Neurospora crassa OR74A: one gene and its partner. The protein of the gene in region 1 binds, or shares a complex with, the protein of each later gene. Links are inferred from orthologs where the notes say so. Each region holds a gene or a part of one and is shown on either strand. Other genes may lie near its edges.

What was found. The genes of interacting proteins can lie anywhere in the genome.
Region 2: NCU06485 (region 1) and NCU05251 share a complex: the UniProt entries of both Saccharomyces cerevisiae proteins name them as parts of the RNA polymerase I (Pol I) complex. The link is inferred for Neurospora crassa OR74A from reciprocal best matches to the Saccharomyces cerevisiae genes RPA49 and RPA12.

Annotation. Positions count from the first base shown.
Region 1 is NC_026503.1:1,582,178-1,585,872, forward strand, and holds NCU06485 (hypothetical protein), read right to left. Parts: upstream 2,535-3,695; 5' UTR 2,462-2,534; coding exon 2,308-2,461; intron 2,235-2,307; coding exon 1,909-2,234; intron 1,856-1,908; coding exon 1,025-1,855; 3' UTR 501-1,024; downstream 1-500. UniProt on the Saccharomyces cerevisiae protein: DNA-dependent RNA polymerases catalyze the transcription of DNA into RNA using the four ribonucleoside triphosphates as substrates. Component of RNA polymerase I (Pol I) which synthesizes ribosomal RNA precursors.
Region 2 is NC_026504.1:5,596,174-5,599,712, forward strand, and holds NCU05251 (DNA-directed RNA polymerase I polypeptide), read right to left. Parts: upstream 2,143-3,539; 5' UTR 1,604-2,142; coding exon 1,489-1,603; intron 1,366-1,488; coding exon 1,131-1,365; intron 1,060-1,130; coding exon 1,041-1,059; 3' UTR 673-1,040; downstream 1-672. Other genes in the region: NCU05252 (deoxyhypusine hydroxylase), read left to right, coding at 1-72, 156-672; NCU05250 (hypothetical protein), read left to right, coding at 2,998-3,175, 3,308-3,488, 3,539-3,539. UniProt on the Saccharomyces cerevisiae protein: DNA-dependent RNA polymerases catalyze the transcription of DNA into RNA using the four ribonucleoside triphosphates as substrates. Component of RNA polymerase I (Pol I) which synthesizes ribosomal RNA precursors.

The DNA of each region.
Region 1 (3,695 bases):
TCGGGGACGCTTTGGGGAGGCACAAGGGGAAGGAACTTCATCGTGGGGTGATCGGCTTCGGCCCAGCCCTACCTACCACCGACGGCGTCTCACACCGCGGGGCGGCCAGCGGCCAGCGGCCAGCGAAAGGGGACAACGGTAGAAGGTGACGCCTGGGCGGATGCCCATCCAGGGCAGCCATATAACTACCTTTTCATCTTGTTTTCTTCTAGCCTGGCCGTCGGCTGCTCTGATATCTGCGTAGGATTTGCCGCGGACATTCTTCCTGTTACATATGTTAGCTTGACGTTCGTGGTTCTGATTTTGCACATCAACTGGCGTTAGCTGGTTCAGGTTAATGATCATCTCTGCCCCATTACTCATCTCGAAGCCCGTCATCAGTTCCCATCTTCGTTATTGGGTCCGTGCGGATATCAGTAGTAAACAAACACAAAGGGGTTGGCCAAGCGTTGAGGCACTTGAGAACCAGAACCCAGGGGGGCCAGCTTTTTGTGGGGTGACCCTTTTCCTAGATTTCAATGTCATCTCTTTGACCCCATTCAGAGCTTGATAAAGACTGAGGGACAAGCTTCCCGCCATACTTCTTATGGCCCATCAATTTCCATGACTATTCTCTACATTGTCTATACAATGATATATGCTTTCTAGCCTAGCTTTTACTGCCCGAACCACAAAATAACTGATGTATACCTCGGCAAGATGCTCAAATAGTGCGGTACAGGTCATGGCCTCCTCTCGATTAGGCGCTTGGAATTTTGATTGGCCAGCGCCTGGGTGTCGCTTGGGTGTGTCTCAACAACACACCATGGTGGTTACAGGCTGGAAGCGGCCAGACTTCCAACTGAGCTGGATGATCGCTTCTCTCGCAAAAAGCATGCCTTTTCTCAGCACTTCGTAGGGTACTTCCAAACGTAAGCGCCAAGATGTCCAATGTAGGACTGGGTGGATGATGTGCAATGCGCACAATCCAACTAAACTTGATGATATGATCCGTGGCCGTGGGTCCGGCTCAGCAAAGCGTGGTTTACCTCTTCCGTGCCGGCAGTCTGATCTTGGGAAACTGAAGAGGCAGTTGCAGGACGGCAAAGTTCTCCATCTTGTCAGCGACCTTCTGTTGCTTGACGCGAGCTCCAATCTCGATAAAGTATTGGTTGAGCTGCTTCTGCTCCAGCTTCAGATCTTCTCTCAAGTCAATCGTGTTGACCCTGAAGCCGTCGATGATGGCGGCAAATGCGCAGCAGTGCGTCATCAGAAGGTCAACGTGTGTCTTGCGCATGACTCCGCCGTCCGAGAACTTGCGGCGGATGTTTTCAATCACGATCTCGGGCGCTGGTGCCATAACCTCGCGCAGCTTATCCCTCTTACCAATGCTTCTTGTGCCACGCTCCCTTCCTTGCGAGGTGGCATTCCAGAAAATGATGACGAACAAGAGGTACCGCAGTACCCTCAATCTGTGCACCGCGTCGTCGCTGCTTGCTACGTTGGAAACGCGCTTGGCGACAAAGCGCGAAGGTACCTGGATGTCTTCTAGGTTCTTGACGCTCTCCTGCCAATCCATCACTGGTATCGCGTTCAGGACCTCGGATCCGATAATTTGGGATGGTACGTAGACGTCTGCGATTTCATCGGCATTGAAGTTGCCGCGCGGTACCGGTCGGGCGTTGTCGACAGCGGCTTGAAGGTCTTCCTTGGTCGACATGTCCTTGGTGGCGGTCTTGATGGCGTCCATCATCACCAGCTCGCTCTGGCCAACCTTTTGAGATGTAATGGCGTTCTCCGTCACGTCGCGGATCGCCTTCTTCGCCTTCTTAGTACCGAATGCCTCGCCGAGCTCGTTCCTCATGGCCATCATTTGCTGTTGCACCGTCAGTCTGGTTTTATGCCCCTGACCACTACTTCCAGGCTTACCTGTTTCTGAGTCTTCTCTTCCATTGCCTCGTCAACCGCCTTCTGCGACCTAACTGTGCCACGGAGCACCATCTTGCGCGCCTCTACAATCTCAACCTCGGCGGTTTTGGGGTTGAAGATGCCAATGTAGTGCTTCAGGTATGGGTCGGACGAGTCTCCTGTCCTATCTTCGCGAGCTGTGTAGTCCATCGTCCGGTGGTTGGCAGAGTGCAGCAGCAACTCTTGTGCGGGCGCGCCATTCTTCTTGCGCTTCGAGGTCTTGTCGGCTGGTGTGGCGTAGGCTTGAAATTGTATGGACGAAGAGAGAGCGAGTCCCGAGGTCGCGGCTAGGAGCGCATGTTAGAGTCTTCCTCCATTGGACTTGACGGCCATGGTTTCAGCCGATCAACATGTGCTTACCCACGACCGGAGGCGCATACTGCGGCCTCTTCACAGCTCCGACATTGATGAACTTGGGCGACTTGGACGATTTCTCGGAGTCGACCTTCTTCTTCTTGATTTGGGGTGTTGTATCCTCAGCGCTCTTGCGCTTCTTGTCTGATGAGCTTCCCATGGTGGTGTTTGCGGGCTACAAAGGTGCTGGGGTAGTGTAGAGTCGTGAAGTCCCGCCAAATCAAATGGATCATGCAGCTGGAGAGTCGCTGTCTGAACTTCCGAGTGGATCCCGCAGCCAGAAAAAAATTCTGCCGCCTGCCGGGGTCCGGTATCAGTTACCGCCTTTACAATCGACACACCACATTTGATGACGACGATGCAATATGTTTGATGATTTGTGTTGAAATACTACGAAGCGCGAAATCTTCATGCTATGAAATCAATTGCTATTGGTTTGCTGTTAAATTGCTTGGAGAGATGAAGAATAGCAAGCCGCACGCGTGCTAAAACAATCAACCAGACATGGAGGGGTTCAGTCCAAGTCACAAGGCAAACCAAGGCTTGGGACGCGATTTCTATGCCCTCGTGCATGCAGGCCACTGCCTTCCCCGTCGTTGAAAATGTTCACTGATGTTGCAAAAATTGGTATTCCCTTTGTGTGCAAATGCCATGTCACCTGTTCGAGGGCAGATGACCATGTTGTCGACAGAAACAATTGATCCAAGACATGCAGTCCCGTTTGTCACAGATGCAGAGAAGTGTATCATGAAGCGAAGCGGCCTTTATTGTTGCTGCGACGGGTATCCCGAATTCGCGTCTCCAAACTAGACAGTTTGCTCCCACCGGCGTTGATCCGTAAACACCTTGTTGCTACTCAACCATGAAGTTGACAGGCAACCAGCCAATACCATATCCGCCACCAAACAGTTCCGTTCTATGTGTGCCACAGTTTGATGTGCAGCATGTCCCGAGGGGTGCATGTTCCGTAGGAACCCTGAGTTCGCCTGATCACCGCAAGGTTTCAGAGCGACCGATGTGGCGTCATTCCGCGCTGAGGGGAGGAGTCGACACCGAGCCCAAGTTGTCTAATGGCTTAGAGGATAATGTCAAGAGCTGATTGGGTCGAGTGAGGCGAGGCGTTTATTTGCTGGGATCGAGTCAGCTTATATGCTCCTGAGTGGCGATTGTAGCTGCATCAACTGTCGATGCGCCGATGGTGAAACTTACGATCTCGCTCTCATCTTTCTTCTCTTGCGCTTAAGGCGTCTCACGCGCTTCTTTCTCCACTTCGCTCTCATCTTGAACTGCTTGTATGTCAGTAGGCGGGCAAGCAAATGCTGGGGGGCGGGAGCGCGTACATCTTGGATTTAAAGATGAGTTTTGCTTGTTGGTGATGGGAAAGAGTTTCAACT
Region 2 (3,539 bases), on another chromosome or scaffold:
GTGCGAGATTGCGATTGATAGGATAGAGTGGGAGAATTCGGAGGAGAGGAAGCAGGAGAAGTTGCGCCAGAGGTACATTGACATTGACAACATCATATTTCTGTTCTGGCATTCTTTCCATTGGTGTGCTAACCGCAGAAAACTACTACTTCTAGTGACTTTGCCTCGGTTGATCCCGCCCCTCCCATGCCCGAAGACGACGAGAAGCAAACGGTCGAGACGCTCGAGAAGAAACTCCTAGACACTTCGCTCCCCCTCTTCAAGAGATACCGCGCCATGTTCGCCCTCCGCGACCTGGCCTCCCCTCCCGACCTGCCGACTGCCGTTCCCGCCATCCTGGCCCTGGCCAAGGGTCTCAAGGACGAGTCCGCCTTGTTCCGCCACGAGATCGCCTTTGTGTTTGGACAGCTGTCGCACCCGGCTTCCATCCCGGCCCTGACCGAGGCCCTCAGCAACCTCGACGAGGTCAGCATGGTCCGTCACGAGGCGGCCGAGGCTTTGGGCAGTCTGGGTGATGAGGAAGGGGTCGAGGAGACGCTGCTCAAGTTCCTCCATGACAAGGAGAAGGTCGTTCGCGAGAGTGTGATTGTTGCGCTGGATATGGCCGAGTTTGAGCAGAGCGGCCAGGCTGAGTACGCGTTGATACCCGAGGTTGCTAGCAAGGCGTCGTAAAAGATGGGACTTTGAGTTTCTCTTGTTGGTTCGTTGATTGCGTTCGTTGATTGCTTGTTTCTTTTTCTTTTCTGGGGCGAATCATGGATGGATGGATGGAAGGGTATTTCAAAAAGTTTATGCGTCTTTCTCTCTCTCTCAGGATTATACCAATGCGACTGATCGTCGGTCCTGACAAAAAGAAGGGGTATCGTTGTTGTAGTTGTAGTAGTTGTAACAAGGCAAAGAAAGCCGTCGTTACTAAAGCTCGGCTTGCCAATGCTGGTGCTAGTAAGCTGTCCCATATGTCGTTGGATCCAAACCAAACCAATGCGACCCAAACAGCATTCCCAATTTTGTAAATCCAATTGCAGCAATCTTCTTTGCACTCAGTTGTTAACCGACCATCTGTGTTGTACCTCGAATTAGCACAAAGCAAACCACAGCTATAATAACCGTCCGGCGGTGTCGCATCATACCTCTCTCCGCAGTCGCAGTTGTACAGAATTGTTGAGCCTTCGTCGGCACTTCTCTGCTGAACTTCCGAGTAACGGATACCGCGCTTGCCGCACTTGGGGCATTCTGTGTTGGAGTCGATTCTCTCCGTGTTGAGCTCGTGCCTTACGACGGTCTGGACGATATCCAGCTTCTGGCGCAAAAGCGAGGGGAAATCGGACGGCTTGGACTTGGTCACGACGGTTCTGGAGGGACGATCTAGAATGAAACCAAGAAAGATGGTCAGTTTGTTCAAGTTGCAATCCTCGGATGAAATAAAGCTTCTTCTTGAACACCGTCTTCTGGAGGATATTGACTGGGTAAAGTGAATTGAATGCGCACCTCTGTTTTCGGCACCGCAGCATTCACAGTGAAGAATGTTCTTTTCGCTGCCCTTGGAGACGGGCAAGAGGTTGCCGCAGTCTGTGCAGAAAATGAGGGATCCGATGGCGGCCATTGTTGTTTCTTCTTGGTTTGTGCCGGAACGGTGGTCAAGGTACTGTAGGTTGTCTGATCGATGTCGGCGGTTCGGTTAACTTGAAGTTTTCTGTTGTTTCGTTCTCGCAGTAAACACCGGCGGACTTCAAGATTTACAACGGGCCTGCATGGAGACGATCAATGGCACGGCAAAACCATGGCAATTGATTGGGCGCGCAATGGAAAATTCCACTGGGGGACCCTCCTGGCTTGCTTCCTGGCAGGCAACCTAACTTGCTTGGCAGCGAGCAATGAAAGCCGGGGCAGGCTACAGGCACCTAGACGTAGGTACTTTAGCATGGGCGATGACGAGTGACGGCGGAAGGCACAACCGCAACAAGGGAACCATCCATCCACGCTGATGACACGGCAGGTGGGACCAAGGGAATCTGCCCCCCCAAGGCCCCATATCCAGCGCAGGCCGCGTGTTTCTGGCGCTGAGTTGGGTTCAAGTTGAATTCGTAAATTGCAAGCCAGACATGGAGACGCGGCAAGCACGACCGAGCGCGCCAACACGCCTGGGGTTAGGTAGGTAGGTAGTGTAGCTGGGCAAGTACGGGACGGCCACGGCACGGCATGGCAGGTGCTAGCTACCTACCTGTGCAGTACCGGCCGGGGTTCGGGGACTCGAATTACAGTAAGTAGCGTGACCGCGCGCCGTGCCCACCAAGCTCACAGGGCTGTTTCCCGTGTTGGCGTTGTGCGTTGCCCGTGCCTGCCCAGTGCCCGCCCTGCTTTGCGGATCAAATCTGGGGAAGGGAAACATACATTTGGATCCATTGGACTTTCCTTCCCTTGAGTTCCAATTTGGGTACAGTACCTGAACTTCACCTTCCTTGAACCTCAACATCGACCACACGTACTTACCCACCTCTACCTCTCTATCTTTAATCGTGCCCGATCCCACCTACCTTAGCTATTTCTATCTGTCTGTTGACCAGTCCCCTCACTCTCAGGTTCTGTTCAGTTGTTGGTCCGAACACATCGAAGCGACGACATGGACACACTACCTGTGCCTGCAGCGTGATTTCCTCTTTTCCTCAACCACCATCATCCATCTTGTCTTCTCCAACTAGTCCATCCGACGCGCCCAGGCCAACACTGACCCGCCGCGGGACAAAGGCCCCTCCTCCGCGACTGCCTACACGATTCCGCCGAAAGCAGTCGGTTCGCATGGCAACAACACCTCCGGCTCTCGTCTGAACTTTGGGCTCCGGGTCCTGACGTGGTACTGCGTCTACTACTGCCGCCGCCGCTGCTGCTGCTGCTGCTGCTGCCGCCGGTGCCCTCCGGCTGGGACGACATTTGCGCCGGACACACCCAACCATCCAAATCACCATGCGCTAATGCTGCTGTCAAAGTGATCAAGCAACAATGGCATACCAGCATCCATACCACCACAGCATGGATCCCAACGCCCAAGACTACCATGGCTCCCAAGGCGCGCCGGCGTCCTCATCGACGCAACAAGCTGTGGCATTTACGAGACCTTTTGCCCTCTACGAAGCTCTGCCCTATACGCCTTTCACCTCGATCGTGCCTTTCGACCCAAGTAAGATCAAACCATCCCAACTCTGAGACACTCCATGTTTGCTCCTCCCCCGTATATCGTCATGCCTATCTCCTCTCCTCTTCGTTCCAATATCGTCACGCGAGTCCTAACCATTCATGTCTTCACCTCTAGGTATCTTGCCGACACCCTCGATCGGAGCTGCGTCGCCCGCCCCCAGCTTGATCGACCTCCTCAACACTCAGGACTTCGATGGCCTCAATCAAGAACTTCACAACACAGGTCCAAGCAAACGCGTTCAGCACACACTCAGTCAAGTCCAGCACTTGATAGAGAGGGCGAATATCACAGAGTTGTACGTTTTGACGAGGAAGTGAGGAAGAGTCAGGACTGACCACCTCACAGC